Neodiprion lecontei: one gene and its partners. The protein of the gene in region 1 binds, or shares a complex with, the protein of each later gene. Links are inferred from orthologs where the notes say so. Each region holds a gene or a part of one and is shown on either strand. Other genes may lie near its edges.

Region 1 (6,707 bases):
CTCCCTCTTCGGTTCGTTCGACTAGAGCGACAGAATGCCCGTTGTCCGGTGTATTTCAATACTTAATCGGTAATTGGTGACCCAAACTACTGATGTGAGTCTGGCTGTAGCTGCGTGTGAATGTTTCCGGTGTCTAACATCTGGAGATTTCCACTAGGTACCGTTCCGACGTCACAAGTGTGCGTCAGCCGTCCCATGGTCCAGAATTTGTTCCGTCTCACGAACTCGGAATCCAGTGACTTTTCAAGCCCCAATCAGAAGTGTTCCGGACATTCCGTTCCGTGTGCATTACCAGTATTTGCGAACTGTCAAACAAATCTCTGTATCTGTGTGTGTGTGGGTGCGTAACATAAGAAAAAACTGAATTCGTCAGGTCCTGTAAGTATAAAATTCTTCAGAATACGAAATTCATTTATTTAATTGTTCGTTGTAGTTGTTGAAGTGGAAATAATTAAAACTTGCGTCACGTTTGACCTAATATCACCCAATTTCTAACCTATAATTCGAGAATATTCATATCATAACCTCTTATTTGCAGCCTAACGTAAGCATGTAACGTAAGCATGTAAACAATACATATGCTTGTGTGAGTAATACGATTCCGTCTCTGTCAGCATCGGGTGTCCCATGACACGGAATGCACAGGCCCGGAAGTGCCGACACCCAATCACAGTAGTGCATTTCAAATTCAGCGCTAAAAGGAACAATCGCAATTTGCCGGCGATCGTTCCGTGTGTGTCATTTCCGTATCATGGGACAGTAGGAAAAATGCATCCCGTAAATCAGTGGAGCCGGAACGCCTCCGATTGGGGCTTGAAAAGTCACTGGGTTCAGGGTTCGTGGAGACGGAACAAATTCCGGACCATGGGACGGCAGCCTTATACCCGTATTCATAGTCGCTCCTTATCTCAAGGGTAAAGGACGCCTTGATGAAGGCTTCCTTGAATCTCAGAGGCATCCTCGTTTCATAGTCACAACTTGGCTCTCCCTTCCAGGAGGGAAGACATATTTAGGGATATGTGATTGCTTATGGTGGTAAAACTGCTGATCGAAGCGTCACTCGGTTATATTTAAATCTAACTTAAACCGCTTGGCTCTCATTGTCAACTTGCGTCGGTTGATGAGAGTGTATAACTTCAAAGAGGTTAACTTGTAGACTAGCTGTGATCTCTGCGTCATACGGGTCATAAGTGCATAGTCGCCAAGCGCAAGCGCAAGCGTTGGCTACATAAAACGAAACTGCCAATCGCAGTGCCGAAGCTTTCCTCAAGGAAGCTCGAGATCTGCTTTGAAAGAAGGAGGCCAATAAGGCTCCTTGTGCTGTCAAGGAAGGACTATGAATACGGGTGTAACTCACTTCAATTTCACCTTCTCACATCAAATTTTGTGTCAAGTCAGCTCGCGCGAGGAAACTCGCACTTTCAGGAGGTGAGATTGACCGAAATAGGGTGAGCCGCTCACATTCGTCATTTTCACCCAATCCAAAAACCGTAATAAGCCCCCAGAACTTCGATTCCACCGTTTTTGGTGCTATCTTAGTCTCACACCCGCAGTTGATATACTGCCATCTCTTTCTAGCGATCTCGGGATTTGGGTGTATTCCAAAATGTACTTCCAGTACTGCCGACCGTGACGTCACGCAGTCAACTGCGAACTGCGTTCCGTTTTTACTTCGAGTTGCCAGTTGCAGAAAAAGCGGAACGCTACACCGAGGACGCGGCCATCTCTCAAGTACTGCAACTGCCTCACGTCCCAGACCGTAGTAGTCACAGTCAATACGTCACAAATTTCAGACGTCACAGACTGGCGGCAGGAAGCTGTCGCGCGGTTTCGGAACGCGGTTGCTAGTACTTGCAGTACTGCGAGTATATTTCGGAATACACCCATAGTATAAACATGGCTGGTTTTAGTACAAATCTAACCTCTGCGGTCTAAGCAGTTTTTGTCACGGTCAAGACTCTTATCAAGTGTTTTCTGTGTGGAATGTATTTTTCATTTTACCCTGCCTTACTTTTCGGTTACTCACGTGCGGGCTGAATGATACAACAACGTCGTCCGTATCTTGTTCTCTTTGGGGTTCAACGAGTAATTCTTTGCAGTTTTCAAATTGACTTTTTGCTACTTCTTGACATTCCAGTTGCACAACTTATTACAATGGCTTATCTAACCCGCAAAGAGATAGATGATATGAAGCCTCAAATAGAGAAGGCAGTACATAAGTTTCTGGGTTTTGGAGAGCCGTCAATTGTTACTACCGCTATAAACTGCATCACTTCGGGCTACGACAAGCGTAAAACTGCTGGTAAGTTTCTCTATATCACCGACATTCGAACTGATCTACAACTATAACCATTGAACTGTGTCGCTCATTCATTTATCCTTTTCACTCAGTGATTTCAAGTTTTCAATGAAACGCTACTACCTAGCGTTTAGTCAATTTACTAGAGATAAGTATTCATCTTCTGATGGCATGTCAAAACATTTTTTTACAACTTGTATATGTGGTATGTGACAATTTATGTTTTAGACAAACTTTCGGCACTCTTGGAAGAAAAGAAGGCTACCAAGTTGATGGAAAAAATATTTTCAATATACGATGACACCAAAGCTAACCAAAAGAGTAAGAAACGTCCTCATACCGATGACAAGGATAAGGACAGAGATGCAAAGAAACCGAAAACAAAAGAAGACGATTTCATGAACGAAAAACCTACAGAAGCACAATTGTCTGCTGACAAGGTACATTTAAGTTTATAAATCCACTGTCTAGTACCCGAACTGAGGGCAAAAATGCTTTGTATCACAAAAATTGTTTCGATCAACTAAATGCGGCATTCACGGACGGCGATACGAATATTTGGTTACAACAATTTATAAGCTGCTCAAACTAAATAAAAATTACTTCTGTTGACTTTATTATTACTTAACACAAGTAAGAGGATGTACAGTCAACGGAATATTAAGTTGAACGATCTCTATTCTATAGTTGATATAAAAATCATTTTGTTAATCTGAATATCCTACTTCTTGATCCAACAAATGTTTGATGAATGCAAGATCATGTTCTGTTTGTTTCAAAAAATTGTAGTCGTCGGAACTGAATATTCGGTTGGAAAAATCACAGCTAGGTACAAGCAACTGAACATTCAGTTCAGTATAGTGTTTCAATCATCTATTGAAACAACTTACTTGTTAACTTGAGTCTCATATCATTCAGATAAAAAAATGCTCAGGTTATAAAGTAAGGTTATGTTTTATTAGAATTACTGTATATTTCGTTTGACGAGACTGAATCATGGAATGAAAGGATGTCCTGCAGTCATTTGAAAAGGTTCTGATCAAAAATGAAAATAAAATTTTTAGCCTAATTACGACAGTTGGTGGATTTTTCAGTATTGCAAATAACTTATAATTGATTGCAAGTTGGATAAATCACATTTTTAGTTTCTGATTAAAGGCTGCATGATTTTGATCAGGATTCGAATCGGGGATTGCTCACTAATACTTATCATACCACCTAATCGTACATCTGTTGCCACTATGCCAAACTATCGCATAGATTTCGGGTTAACTTTGGCTCACTTAAATGACGAAATACACTTATCTCAGTGATATGAAGCTATTGCCAGCAGACATGAAAAGATTATGTACAAAATGCAAGGATTTCATCAATATTTCAACAATTTAACTGCACTGAAAAAGCCGACGACATAGTACAGTTGAATAATGAAATGCTCGACATGAATATTTTATTCATGTCATTAATTCAACACACAGAAAACATCGATTTCATTACCTTTATGTTTTCCCAGCTGCCACGAACGTTAGAGTTTCGTGGTTTTTTTTTCAACCAACAAAATATTTGAAAGTAGGTAAATTTATTAGCCTATTTGTGTTTGTAGATAAATTTATTTTACCATATGTATGGAAACCATTTTCTTATTGTTTCGACTGATACATTCGTTTAAATCAGCAAAAGTATTTGCAGTTAGTCGCATTATCGCTGACTTGGATCAACGAAAAAAATGGTACCCACGAAATGTAGATTCGCTTACGCTAAGGAATTTAATTTTTTTTCATCCAATTAAATCGATTCAGTTGATTTACTGACTTTTCTTATCACCATTCGATTAACATTCATCAATGCTTGGTTAAGAATTTCATCTCCTCATTTTCCTCCTCTGCTACATTTTTTTTTATAGATAAAACAAATGATGATGAATGCTCAAAGAGAGATCGAGGAGCGCAAACGGGCGTTAAAGGCGATACGGCAAGATGATATGCCGCCAGTCAGACCCTTGTTCCGAGCTCGCGAATCCATGCCGTCCGTAGGGAGTATGTACAATCAGGGACTGTTGAGTAAAAATGATTCTGACAAAGCTCGGAAGATTGCTGCACTTCAGGCTCAAATTAGGAATAAACTCAGTTCGGGATTATTGGGAAGCCTGCCAGTCCCTGATAAGCCAACACCCTTGATATTGGATGAATCTGGAAGAACAGTCGATATTACAGGAAAAGAAGTTCAACTCACCCAGGTAGTTCCTACGCTGAAAGCCAATATTCGAGCAAAGAAACGGGAAGAATTCAAAGCCCAGCTGCAGGATTCTAAGGGGCCAGAGGAGATGCAGGATACGCATTTTTTTGATAGTCGGATCGGTGCAAAGCCAGCCCAAAGAAACAAGAGAGCCTTAAAATTTCACGAGCCTGGGAAGTTTCAACAGTTGGCAGATAGAATACGTATGAAAGCCCAATTGGAAAAATTACAAAACGAAATATCACAAATTGCCAGAAAAACCGGTATCAGTTCGGCAACAAAATTGGCACTGATTGCCCCCAAGACCGAGGCCATGAACGAAGATGTGCCCAATGTTGAATGGTGGGATTCGGTTATTATTACTGGATGTTACACAGATGACGAAGAACAAATGCCAATCAAGTTTTCTGCCATTACAAACTTGGTTGAACATCCTACGCAAATGCGGCCTCCAAGTAAGTTATGAAACTCTGGACGATCAGATTGTTTGTAATAGTACTTTTAGCTGCTTTCCGGTTGCATTATGAAAATTGAAATCCTCAAAGGAAGAGTGTTATAGCTCACAGTACCTTGAATAAATATCTTCAGAGAAATTCAAATCCTTGCCCTATTTATCAATAACCATATTTATTACATATGTGTGTAACTGCAGAGTTTTCATTTGCTCAAGAATTACCTGCTTGTATAATAATATGACCCCAACTTTCATTGTCTTCGATCTATTTTTCGTTTGCTTACAGCTGATCCTCTCAAGCCAATCTACATGCCAGTATTTCTGACAAAGAAGGAGCGTAAAAAATTACGTCGGCAGAACCGACGAGAAGCATGGAAAGAGGAACAAGAGAAGATCCGCCTGGGTTTGGAACCACCGCCTGAGCCAAAGCTGAGGATCTCTAATTTAATGCGTGTCTTGGGTACAGAAGCTGTACAGGATCCCACAAAAATTGAGGCTCACGTACGCCAACAGATGGCAAAGAGATTAAAGGCTCATGAGGATGCAAACGCGGCGCGTCGACTTACTGCGGAACAACGACGCGAGAAAAAAGCTCGTAAGCTGAAAGAGGATACCACCCTTGGAGTACACGTAGCAGTTTACAGGTAATCCATTGATATATACCCTGCACATGGGGATGGCCACGTTCATAGAACTATATTCAAATGAATTATTTCAGGATACGAGATCTAGTTAATAATGCATCGAAAAAGTTCAAAGTGGAAACAAATGCCAAACAATTATACTTGACCGGGTGTGTGATGTTGTTTCGCGACTGCAATGTAGTCGTAGTTGAGGGTGGAGCTAAACAACTGAGCAAGTATAAACGTTTGATGGTACGGCGAATAAAATGGGAAGAGGATATCGTCAAGGATAATGATGGAAACGAGGTGCCTAATAGATGTGTTTTGGTTTGGGAGGGTACAAGCAAACAGCGACACTTTGGCGAGGTAAAATTCAAGGTGTGCCCAATCGAAAAAATGGCAAGGGAACACTTCAAAAAACATCAAGTTGAGCACTATTGGGATCTAGCATATAGTGGTGCGGTATTAGACAATACAGATGATGCACGTACCTAAAACCTAGTGTGGTAATGAAACAATATTACAAACAATGAATCGTAGAATTCTTGGTGAGAAATAAATGATAAATAATCAATTTCAGATATTTTTACATATTTCGTGTAAAGTTGGAGTTTGTTAAACTAATTCAATTACTGAAAGGAGATGTGCTTCTGTTCATAATTATGTACCTAAGGATCACTTGTTAAACATCTGCTTTCGTCGCTTGGATTGACTGTCAGTACCAGGTCCCTGGCGCTCTTATTCATTTCATATAGGGAACTGTCTGCGCTTATGATCACCATATACATATAGTTCGTACTGCATGGCGCTGGCATATTTCGGTGTTCCCCCCTCTTGCGCCCTAACACTCCTTGCCGGCGCAAGCTAGCCGTAGTGGCAGCTGGTAGCAGCTGATGGCAGCGAGACGCCGCAGAATACTGCCAGCGCCACGGAGCGGCTGGTGATATTCGGGGGACAGGAATGTGGCTTGAGTGCCAGGGGGCTGGTCAGTATATCTATAGTCTTGATGCCCCTGTAAGTATCTCAGTAGTCATGACATGGAAAAATAGTCCTGAAATGAGAGACGTAGTCAGAAGTTATCGGTTCCTTAGAGTCC
Region 2 (4,023 bases), on another chromosome or scaffold:
TCTGGCTTACCAAAAAGTCGGAACAGCAAAGTGTAGGCTGATACCCTACAAGTTTGTATAGAGTCTGTTGAATCCGTGTCTACAAATCGCTGTAATATGATAATCTGCTTGTAGTTTGCGGGATTTCATTGAGAAATATACTATCGAACTTGCAAATTATGTCTTGCGGTATTAGAATCAAGTAACTGCACCAGGCAACAATGAATTCATTCAATCTGCATGTAACATTTCGAAACTAAAAGCATTTTGCCTCATGAATTATTTACTCCAATTGTGTGTAATGTGAGCTAATATATTTTGCGTTTTAAATAATCGTGAATAATTTGATGTTCGTATTGAATGAGGAGTCGACAAGTATCAAGTGAGTAATATTCCTAATTTTTTAAATCAATTTCATTGCTTCATAAAATTAGACTGAAGTAGATTGAATTTTGGCTGATAATCAGTTAAGCTTCAGCATAATACAAAAATTTTTTAATATCTATTTCGAAAGAAGGACAGCGTGCCTAAGTTTTTTTCCATTCTTCACGTTTTCATACACAAAGTTCATTTTATTTGCATCAATTATTGCCTGTAATAGTAGCATAAGCTTATCCAGTGATTATTTGTTTTTAAATTATTTTAGAGTTAATTACGTCAGTAGGGATTAGATTGGCGCCCTCATGCTTGGCGGAGATACCAGAATGACACCGTCGCCACGAACAAACAACATTGGAATATTTCTTTTAGTCGTTCTGTAAACTTCCTCGTAGGTTTCTTCGTCTATCTCAACGGTTGTTACAGTTTCCTCTGCCTCACCCAGAACCATATTTAAATGTTGATCATAGGCCTGAAATTAAAATGATTAACCACCATTTGTTCAATGAATCAATTCTCATTTAAATAGATCGTAGGTCAGGTAATTGTATCAAAATATGAGTTATTATTGTTTACTTAAAATTTCCAATATTGGGAGCAGTGCTGACATTCTATCTTATGTTGTGAAGAAATAGAATGTGGATCGCAAAATTTTATCACAATAATGCAACTTGTTTGATTTTTATTATTTGACGAGGACCGATGGTTCTTGAAAATAACGATTGTCACTAACTTTATGTTAGCAAATCGTTATAACTTAATAAGAATAATAATACTGCAAATAGCAACTATTATTCTGCTCGCCTAACTGAAGTGCCGCTGTTATCTATCAATCAGTGTTAGAGAATCGCACTCCTAATAAGCGCTTGGTATGCATCGACACAGTACTAATTTGACAAAATAAGATTCCTAAAACAGAATTACGTGTAGTCTTCCTCTGAGTTCCCTTTCGTTTCTCATTTTGACGTAAATTCGTTCGTCCAAGCTGAGTCTGATTAGATCTAACGGTTCCTTAACGTTGATGGCAGGAACCTGTATTGAAGACCGACAAAATTTTAGGTTAGTTGAGGTTAGGGATTGAATTATCTTAACAAAAATAAAATGCGTTACCTGCTCTGCATCATCGGCCATGACGTGTTGATAATCCCGTCACAAATTACAATGAAAATGTTGACTCGTCAATTATTTTCTGAAAACTAACAAACGTCACTTTACGACGCGACAGAAATTTAACCGACTTCGTTTCACTAACAATTGAATATCGATCTCGATCAAAACCTCGATTGTAGCCGACCTATGAATTCACTCGCGCTCAACACTCGAAGAACGGTAGTGTCGGTATTGACTTCACATACTTATCCAGCCCGGACATGAGGCGTTGATTTAAATCTGAATACTTTATTCTTTAACGTTGCCGCAAAGTTACAAAATAAGGCACCCAGATCTTTAGAATCCTTTTCCAAAACCATCGCATTATTTACAATTACATTGAAATGAAACAAATGCATTCTCGTCAATACTCCCAACTCAAAAATTATCAGCGTCCCCCTTTCGGCGACCTAACCTAATAGTGAAGTCATAAAAACTGCCAACGGTGCAACTTCTCTATAATTATACACACCGGACTAATTCCAAGGGCAATTTTTGCTTCCAATTGTGCGTACACCAATTGCCATCGAGTTTCTGCTGGAACGGACCAATCAGCTACTCGGTTAACCGAAACAGACGAACCTCGGAAATAAACTGCAGACGCGCATCTCCTCGATACGTAAGTACGTGTTCGAGTAGTAAGTAGTTCGCAATGTGACCACCCCTTCGAGGCGGCGAGCGGCGCTCGAGTAGCAGAATCGAGTCGGTCGTGTCACTGGCAAGTGAGTAACGCCATTTTCTGTGTTTGCGGATAGATATTACGGGCGATAAAGTGACACATTAGGTGTATCGGAGGTTAATTTGTCGGGTGTTTCGAGTGTCGGTGAAATGTTTGGATACCTGGAAAGACGCGGAGCAGATATGGTGAGTGATATAGACGTCAACCCGACAATAAATGCCTGACATCTTGCCACCGTCTGATGTTGGCCGCAGGTTCGAGCTGGGATGGGTCGTTCGGAGTATCGCACGGTATCATGTGATTGTTGTTTGACAGCACGCTCCAAGGGTCGCTCCTTGCCTTTCCGAACCTCCCATCAAAGTTACGCGCCGTTGTGATTAAACCGATCAATTTTACGCCCCGCCAATGGCCGTGGCGCTGAACCTTGTCACGGGAAAAGGTCGAGGGCGGCACATGGCAGTTGGGGCGCCGGCTATGCGGGGGGTGGTTTTCTTTTGTATCCAAAAACCGACTCCAACTCGGAACGGTGAGAATCCCGCCTCAATAAATTGCTCCCAGCAGAGTGTAGGAATGCAAACGGCGATGTATCAGGACTAATGTCCAAACGGCAATCGGCACATATTAACTGTTGGTATCTCAGTTTGTCAACCGGAACTAGCGTGAGATCTAACTTCGGATAGATAACTGAATACACGCTCGTCGAGCGTCTCTTGTTCGTTGCTGGAGAAGCGTAACTCAAAACGCTTGTGTAATCTTAATCTTCCTACTCGTTCGAATTCCTCATTAGATTCGTCGATTTTCATATGTCTTGAGGTCGGGAGAACATTCCTTCACAGAGTAGAATGCTAAGGTAAATAATGATCCGCCTTTCTTTTCCGGCTATAACTGCACCGGCATAACTCGTGACAAAACGTGTGTAACTTGTGTCGGGTGGACTCAGCTTGCGGCTCGACAAACATCAACTGCATTACATAATCCACTTTTACATCCGCGCTACGAAACGAACTTACAACCGCTGTTCTTGTTTGGCTTTGTACGATTCTCACGCCGCGTTACAAAAGCTCGGACAATCGATTCTCGGATTTCAGTTGCGCGTAACAATTAGTTTCCGAGTAAGCGATTCGAATTCCTGCATCAAGAATCTCGGAATTTACACCTGAATACACGCTACACACGTGCTGCGACAACTGGCGCAGGTATTTGATTATTCCGTATGATTATATACCGCATTCGCTTATTCACCACACGCACCGCTACTTACCTGCTATGCCTGAATGGTGAATAATAACGGAGGTGCGTAATACAGTCGGCAGAAAGCGCATCGTCACTTATCTCGGCTCGGTTCGTCAATAAAATATGCATGTGTGTACATACGGCGCGTAAAAGCGAGAACGAAACCCGAAGTATAAAGAGCGCCAACGGGACTGATAAGATAAGATACTTGCCCAGAGCGACGATGATATCTCGTATTTCACTCTGTCTCTCTTCGTTTAATTTAAATTCAGGGTTCGTACGCACAGAGAAAACTGGAAAAACTGGCAAAAGTCAGGGAATTCTGTAAATTTACAATCCTGGAATTTGTGTCTTTAAAAAATGTCCTTGGCACGTTTTTATAGGTTCGCGTAAATGGAGCTGTAAGTGTTACGTTAATTGAATAAAAAAAAGTATAATATTACTTGTTTGTAACAAATGCTTTCTTCTGATTTTCTTTTCTTTCATTCGTTTCTAAGAAAATTAGAGCCTGTAGTTAGGAAATAGATTTGAGTATAAAGTTGACAGTTTAACGATGTTAAAGGTAATGTTATTTATTGAAAAATTTGCCACTCTTAAGTGATTTA
Region 3 (3,233 bases), on another chromosome or scaffold:
ACACGTACAATATACAATATAACAATGAAATAACATCTAGTGAATAAAGATTAATGCAGAAAATTTTTTCCTTTAAATGTAACTCACTCACATAAGACTGAATGAAAAATTATGGTACAATCATTAACTTTATTTATATATATTTAAGAACATACAGATTGTATTTTCCACGTTCAAACAATTCTAGCAAATAATGAATTCAACAATGAAAGTACTTTAACATTTGTCAAAAATGCCTGAGATGGCCTTGATATGTTAAATATAGTATGCAGCAAGAGGCAACATCATTTCTGAAAATTAATATCTACGAGAAACGTGTTCCCTGGTAAAAGATTGTTATTGTTATTATTATGATTATTCTGAGCAGGACAAAGATTCTAGGAAATTTTTCATTCTTCACGAGTCAAGAGGTAATTCTCATACAGGGAAACGAGGCACAAAGAACAACGAGATGAGAATAATAATCGTTTCCAGATGGGTGAAAATTAATAAAATTTGTAACTGGCGAAATATTTGGGAAAATAGTTTTCATGGTTTAAATGAGATTATGAGGTAAGAGCTGGGGTAGTTGAGCGGTGTGTGATAGATAAATAATATTAGTATTGATTGAAATTCGATTAAATAAATCGTGAAATTTACACCTGTTGAATGGAATTATTTAAATTAGCAATTCGCGAGCAGCGTGCGACGAATTGCGAGGACAAGTAGTCAAATTTGGTCCGAAGATAGAATAAGAATAATAATACGAACGTTGAATGCAAAATGGAATATGTATTTGGCGTGTTCGTACGCATGCATACACGCACGTATATATGTGCGTAATAAATTTGTAGAGGCGAAAATTGTGCGGCAACCGGAATATGAGGTGATAGAATAGAACATTTCGATGGTATCATAACAGAAGACGGGGTGTTTTTGTTATCATTTTTTCATCATTTTCAACGGATAATATACCATGTGTAAATTAGGATGGAAGAGTGACTAGGTATCCAGATACCAAGTCCATTCGGTGAGTGTTCACGGGGCAAATCAATCGGGAAGTCTGTACGTTAGCGAGAAAGAGAGAAAAAGAAAAAAAAAATCGCGTGGTCAGGGAGCTGGGTAGACAGCCTCTGAAGTAGGTATATACAGCGTGAACAAAACGTCCCCTTTGACATTGTTTGATGATACATCTAACAAAGCGACGTGCGTATTATACATAACCGTTGTTGTTTCATTACAACGATATTATAATTAGATACTAGAAGTTGCATGTAGATATATATGTATTAATAGCTATGTATCTACGGATAGTAGAGAGCTTGTCAAATCCACCCCATCGGACACAACAATTAAAATGAATATTGTGATATCTCTTACCTCGGTACAGTTAACTCCGGGAAATCACTTTGAATCACTAACTTAATACAATTGTCATGTCTAATTGGAAAATAACTTTTAACGTAACTCATATTGCTCGCACATTGGCACATTTACAAAATCACACAAATAACGAAAGAGTTATACTTCTGCCATGTTCGGCTACAAATTCTACATTGCTGCTGAACCTCGCCGCTGATACCTTCTGCTTCTCCCGTCGACCGTCGCGGCGGCGCTGCTGTCGACATCGAATCATCACTGAATAATATGCGCCAAATGGGCAACGGCCAAAGGGCAATGCCAGTATACTCTGTCTCTCTTTCTCTACACTCTGATTGGCTGAGCATTACGAGATATGCGCGTTCGGCCAATCGCAGCGCAGAGCGAGAGAGACAGAGTGTACGGCAATTGCCTTTTACTGGGAAGCCACCTCCATGCGATATAAGCACGACGGCAACGGCAATGTGCGCGCAACTACCGGTGTTTCGAATCCAACGACGCGTAGTCATTTTACAGGACGTCCGGATTGCCGTCCCGCTTAATTAGTTGATTGTTAGTTGGTTAAAAAGTGAGGGTATATTAATACCGATTGACGAGACTATTCTGTTCCCAAAATGACTAGCTCTGTGACTACGAATCCATCCACGCTTTTGCCGCTAGGTAAATAAATAAAATAATAACGAAATTTTTCCTAACCTCTATGATCTAACGACAGAACGACGTTGTTTATTATTTATTTTTTGTGTATTTTTAAAATACGTTTTAAAATATATGCCATTAGTTCGGGGTAGTCCACGTGTCTTTTACATTCTCGTATTTTCTGCAACCTTGCTCATTATCGATCATCTTAATTTTCTCTATTAACTGATGTTTTATTTCATTGAATTTTACTTTACAGAATTGGTGGACAAGTGCATCGGCTCCCGCATTCACATTATCATGAAAAATGATAAAGAAATTGTGGGTACATTACAAGGATTTGATGACTTTGTGAATATGTTATTGGATGATGTGACTGAAAGCGAAGCAACACCCGAGGGACGCAGAGTTACAAAATTGGATCAGATCCTCCTCAATGGAAATAACATTACGATGGTTAATATGGAAATACAAATACATTTCGATAGCATGATGTGTTTAAAATGCACAACAAGGTTTATTGCAACAGTTTGACTATCATTTTTTCTTTCCTGTTTCAGTTAGTACCTGGAGGTGATATGCCAGAAACATAATCTCATCCCCTGTGATTTCATGTATAATACTTTTGACATTTACTGCTATGTGATTGTAAAAATTTATTCAAATAACAATGATTTTCTTTTGTAAACATTTCTGCATTGTCTTCCTTTTATCCCGTATCATCATTGAGCCTTTGCCATTTCTAATTAACTTCAACACTTTGCTTCGACCTCTAAATCTTGAAGCTCCGTTGCAACTCCATCTATACTGGGTCTATCTGTTTTTTCAAATGACCACATCTTTGAATACAACGCTTTATACTTGCCACCTAAATTATCATCCAGCATTGAATCCTCCGGTTTTATACCTTTCCCAGTGAGATACAAAATAGCGTGAGGATGGAGGTCAGCGAATGGCAAAGTCCTGCTTAGCATTTGCCAGGCCAAAATTCCCAGGGAATATATGTCTGAAGGTGGAGAGGGTAATTCCCCTCTGATTACTTCTGGGGCTACATAACCAGGTGTACCCTGAAAATATGGCATAAACCTGGTGATTTAGGGAATGAAATCGTGATGCAAAACTAAAAAACCTACTCGAATTCCTGTATATGTGTCTTCTTCCCCCAAAAGAACGGAGCTACCAAAATCTGCTAATTTTGGGTTGCCATCTGCGGCCATGAGAATATTTTTTGGCTT
Region 4 (4,088 bases), on another chromosome or scaffold:
CTATGTTTTTAAAATAAAGCCAACTATATCAATAGGTGAACTGTTATGCTATCTGCATGAAACACTATATAAATACATAAGTATTATTGTTTTTTTCAGTCCTGATGGCTCAAAGTGGACTCCAAAACCTCATCACGTAATATGTAATAGTCATTTCATTGGCAAGAAAAAATCAGATGATCCTGCGAGTCCAAGCTACGCGCCAACTCTATTCCCTCCTGTTTATCATGCAAAGCAATTAAATGAAAGAGCTGTTTTAAGCAGGTAAATATATGAAAAGTAAAAAAATAATTATAAAATCAAATAATATATACATTTATATTTATATAATAACATATGTAGGTATCTATTAATTATAGGTACAATCGACTCATTAACCGAAGAAAGACTCTTCACAAGCATAACATCGAAGTGAATTGTGATACTGGAAATCCAGTTAATGACGACTCTAACAATGTTGTCAATAATAATGGACGTGATCCTATGGATGTAAGCAGTGCAGAAGTAATTTTAAAAACTGATCAAGAGTGTCAAGTAGATTTTGTAAATTCTGCTGGTATCGAACAAACAAAAACTTTCACTTGTAACAGATATATTTACATGACTATTTACTGCGATGCTGAAGTTCAAACTGAAATACCGGAAATTGCCACTCTCAAAACTATTGTGAATAGGAAAAAAAATGAAAGATGAAAGGGTACAATGCGGCACATCGTTAACAGATATAATAGATAAGTCGGTTGGTTTTAACGAGGCTGTAGTTGAACAAAATAGGAAACAGCGTAGTTTCTGTGGTTTTCCATCTATTAAGACCGATGAAGATTTATTAGATATTGCTGGAGTGAACTTCCAGAACTTTAATTTTTTATGAAGCATATTATTCAGTAACATCGTAATCAACAAAAATAATGATTGCTCACGTTTAACTGTACTTTATGTGGCTCAGAAGATACGGATGCTGGTCGACCAACTTCAGCTTGATTAAACAAACTTTCTCCATTATGCCTGTATTCTTGCATACTCCGAACATGATCGGCGTTAAATAGATTTATGCCTTTTAGTTCCGTTGTAGGTTGAAAGTTTATTTTGCATATGATTTTTTCATATCCTGTCCTTATTAAAACATCCATGACTACGGATTTTGCCATTAAAAAATTACTGAAAATTCCCTAGGACAGAGTCAGAGCTATTCGCGAACTTGGAAGCGCAAAAGAGATAAAGGATTGCTGACAGTACTGTCAGTGAATTTTCGAACACGGCCTAAATGGAAAGCACCCAGTGTGGTTCTTCCTGATCTGTCACAATAATTAATCTTAAAATATAAACGTGTTTCTATTTATTTTGTGAACGTCAGGACGTTAAGGGCGCAACTCGTTAATGCTTAACCTTACGAAATTGAGCTAGATTGGTCAAAACTGGTTAATGCGGATTTTTTGGGCGAACGCGCATAGAACATTTTTGCCCACGTTATAGTGAGAAAAACTGGAACACGTGTGTCTTGACCTGTATAATCTAGGGACCTTGGGCTTACCCTAAGGCTGCGCTGCTCCAAGTGGCGGAAATGAGCACTACGCTTTGCCATATTATTTGAGTCACCCCCCACCCTCTGAGTTCCCAGCCTGTATGAAAGCATCCATTGTCATAACAAACTTTTGGCGCATTCTCACTAATTTTTTTGCCCACGCGTGCCTTGACTTTCCTAATCTAGGGACCTTGGTACGTCAACCTTCAGAATCACCTTCTTGCCTTCATTCTTCTATGCCTGTGGCTTAAATTATTGAATATCTAGTTTGAAGCTACCACGAACCAGATCGGAACAAGAAAAACAATAATAAATTCGCTTATTTACAAAATAATAAGGTAAAAATCAATTTACGTATAAATAGTTGACATGTTAAGGTGGTGATATGCTTTCCCAAACTTCATCCGTGGAAAGTATGTATCACTTCATCAACAGTAGTGTTGTTTCGTATAGTCTGATCTAGGTTTGACAGAACCTAACCAGTCATTTTGCCCGCATGTGGATACAGAATGTTATAATTTTGCTTGATCCATATTTAAATTTATCTTGGGCGTTCTTAGAAATGTTTTTATCCGCACTGGCAATCGTTAATTATACTTATTCGAGCATCCGACTTCCCTTCAACTTACGTACTCTAAAACTACAAGGTTAATTTCCTAAGTTGACACGAAATTTGACGTTCGTTTGTTTTCAGATGAGCCGTAAAGAAGCACTTTCTCAATTTATACAACAAATTCATGGCCGACCAGTTGTAGTAAAATTAAATAGTGGTGTTGATTACAGAGGTTTGTTCAAAAGTAATCTAAATACTTCGTACCCTAAAAATGAGTAGACAGAAATTCTATAAGCTAACATTTTTGTTCTATACACCTATCTGAAAACTTAGCCAACAACAGTGACTCGATTATACAATTGTACTTGCTTATTGTTTTCCAAGGAAGATTGAAACACTTGATTTTATCCAAATACAAATTTTTGATGATAGGTATAGAATTAATATTCCTACCAAGATGAATTCACCAACGAATGAATGTTTTAAAAAATGCCCCGACTGAATGAACAACTATTATAAAATAACTGTATACGGGAATGCTTTTCTATAGATTGTTTATTTACTGATGAATGTTCATTCACTGGTACGGGCACTCTATTCTACAAATCTAAATTTCCACTACAGTTTTATACTTTTATAGCAAAAGTCTATCCAAATGTAAAAATGACAATAATTTTCAGGCGTCTTGGCATGTCTTGATGGGTACATGAATATCGCGCTTGAACAAACAGAAGAGTACGTTAATGGACAGTTAAAGAATAAGTACGGCGATGCCTTCATTCGAGGAAATAATGTGCTGTACATAAGCACACAGAAACGAAGGACATGAAATGTGAAATTCCAAGTATCTAAAACTGATCATATATAATTAAGATAACAAAAGATATAGAAGTAAATAATGGACTGTCATATTACATTTCCTCAAAATAATATTTATTTGTAATACATGCTGTTCATCTATTTCTGTACCTAACCACAGACTTCTGCCATTTTCGGTCAGATCCGACATGACGAATGTATATTTTGGTTGTATGGAAGTCATTCCACATCAAACAGTACAGTTTTGGGGCACAATTAACATTGATAATTTCAAACTTCACGAAAGGTTGTGAATATGTTGGCGTAGCTCCGAAGTAATTCCTCTTAATATCACTCCCAGTTACTCATACTCCAAAACTTCAAGAAAACGGTAAAATAGTCGCGCACGGGGAATTTCAAACAGTCGTATTTCCGGACCGATTCATCGTACAGAGTCCAGATGGAGCTCATTTCAAAGCTAATAATATTACCCTGAAGTGCATGTATACGAATTACATGAATTTCACTTCTCTCGTGACGAAACTGTTTTTTCATCAGTACAATTATTCGAAGGGATTTTTCACCATGGTCTGTATTACCTAAATCTCTGAAAAAATACTAGTGTGTTCCTCATTTGATTTCCACTAAAACGTTATAAATGAATTTTTGCAAAACAATATGCTGTATGTAAAAAATTAGAAAATCTGGTTCTCTTTGTACAGTCTATGCACCGTAGCCTATATGCACAGACGAAGATTCGGTAAAGTCATTTAAGAAGGTTGATTTCATTGAATCCTGTAATCACTTATTATTTACAATACTATAATAAGTATACATTCTTTTACAATAAACAAAGTTTACGCAGTTATTTTGTTTTCTGATCGTGGCAGAAAATCAATTGGTCCAACAGCGTTCTGCGATTGGCCTTGCAAAAAATAAATTGTTGCACGCAACTTCCCTTCTTTTTTGAGTCAATTGACCTACGATCGAACAGAAAAATATTGTCGATGGCGCCAAGAAGATATACTCTTAGGAAAACAATAAAATTGGCAAATTAATCATAAATCTTCTTCAAGTGCGTAGCAGATATATGGTAGCAGAATATTTTAAATAGCTGAATTTCGACGATAAAATCTTAACGCGATTACAGTTTTGGTATGAAATTTTGATAAAACACAAAAGGTATAATTTTCTCATTTCAATATCTCACAACCA

The links.
Region 2: U4/U6 small nuclear ribonucleoprotein Prp3 (region 1) and U6 snRNA-associated Sm-like protein LSm3 share a complex: the UniProt entries of both Homo sapiens proteins name them as parts of the precatalytic spliceosome. The link is inferred for Neodiprion lecontei from reciprocal best matches to the Homo sapiens genes PRPF3 and LSM3.
Region 3: U4/U6 small nuclear ribonucleoprotein Prp3 (region 1) and U6 snRNA-associated Sm-like protein LSm5 share a complex: the UniProt entries of both Homo sapiens proteins name them as parts of the precatalytic spliceosome. The link is inferred for Neodiprion lecontei from reciprocal best matches to the Homo sapiens genes PRPF3 and LSM5.
Region 4: U4/U6 small nuclear ribonucleoprotein Prp3 (region 1) and U6 snRNA-associated Sm-like protein LSm6 share a complex: the UniProt entries of both Homo sapiens proteins name them as parts of the precatalytic spliceosome. The link is inferred for Neodiprion lecontei from reciprocal best matches to the Homo sapiens genes PRPF3 and LSM6.

Annotation. Positions count from the first base shown.
Region 1 is NC_060265.1:31,665,012-31,671,718, forward strand, and holds U4/U6 small nuclear ribonucleoprotein Prp3, read left to right. Parts: upstream 1-1,835; 5' UTR 1,836-2,037; coding exon 2,038-2,302; intron 2,303-2,527; coding exon 2,528-2,739; intron 2,740-4,202; coding exon 4,203-4,989; intron 4,990-5,274; coding exon 5,275-5,632; intron 5,633-5,706; coding exon 5,707-6,106; 3' UTR 6,107-6,190; downstream 6,191-6,707. UniProt on the Homo sapiens protein: Plays a role in pre-mRNA splicing as component of the U4/U6-U5 tri-snRNP complex that is involved in spliceosome assembly, and as component of the precatalytic spliceosome (spliceosome B complex).
Region 2 is NC_060260.1:25,385,487-25,389,509, forward strand, and holds U6 snRNA-associated Sm-like protein LSm3, read right to left. Parts: upstream 2,146-4,023; 5' UTR 1,489-2,145; coding exon 1,468-1,488; intron 1,390-1,467; coding exon 1,282-1,389; intron 830-1,281; coding exon 647-829; 3' UTR 525-646; downstream 1-524. UniProt on the Homo sapiens protein: Plays a role in pre-mRNA splicing as component of the U4/U6-U5 tri-snRNP complex that is involved in spliceosome assembly, and as component of the precatalytic spliceosome (spliceosome B complex).
Region 3 is NC_060261.1:5,613,942-5,617,174, forward strand, and holds U6 snRNA-associated Sm-like protein LSm5, read left to right. Parts: upstream 1-1,794; 5' UTR 1,795-1,973; coding exon 1,974-2,019; intron 2,020-2,257; coding exon 2,258-2,454; intron 2,455-2,558; coding exon 2,559-2,591; 3' UTR 2,592-2,688; downstream 2,689-3,233. Other genes in the region: serine/threonine-protein kinase mos, read right to left, coding at 2,751-3,065, 3,132-3,233. UniProt on the Homo sapiens protein: Plays a role in pre-mRNA splicing as component of the U4/U6-U5 tri-snRNP complex that is involved in spliceosome assembly, and as component of the precatalytic spliceosome (spliceosome B complex).
Region 4 is NC_060266.1:17,404,020-17,408,107, forward strand, and holds U6 snRNA-associated Sm-like protein LSm6, read left to right. Parts: upstream 1-1,703; 5' UTR 1,704-1,860; intron 1,861-2,216; coding exon 2,217-2,307; intron 2,308-2,755; coding exon 2,756-2,904; 3' UTR 2,905-3,559; downstream 3,560-4,088. Other genes in the region: uncharacterized protein LOC124295486, read left to right, coding at 100-264, 360-693. UniProt on the Homo sapiens protein: Plays a role in pre-mRNA splicing as component of the U4/U6-U5 tri-snRNP complex that is involved in spliceosome assembly, and as component of the precatalytic spliceosome (spliceosome B complex).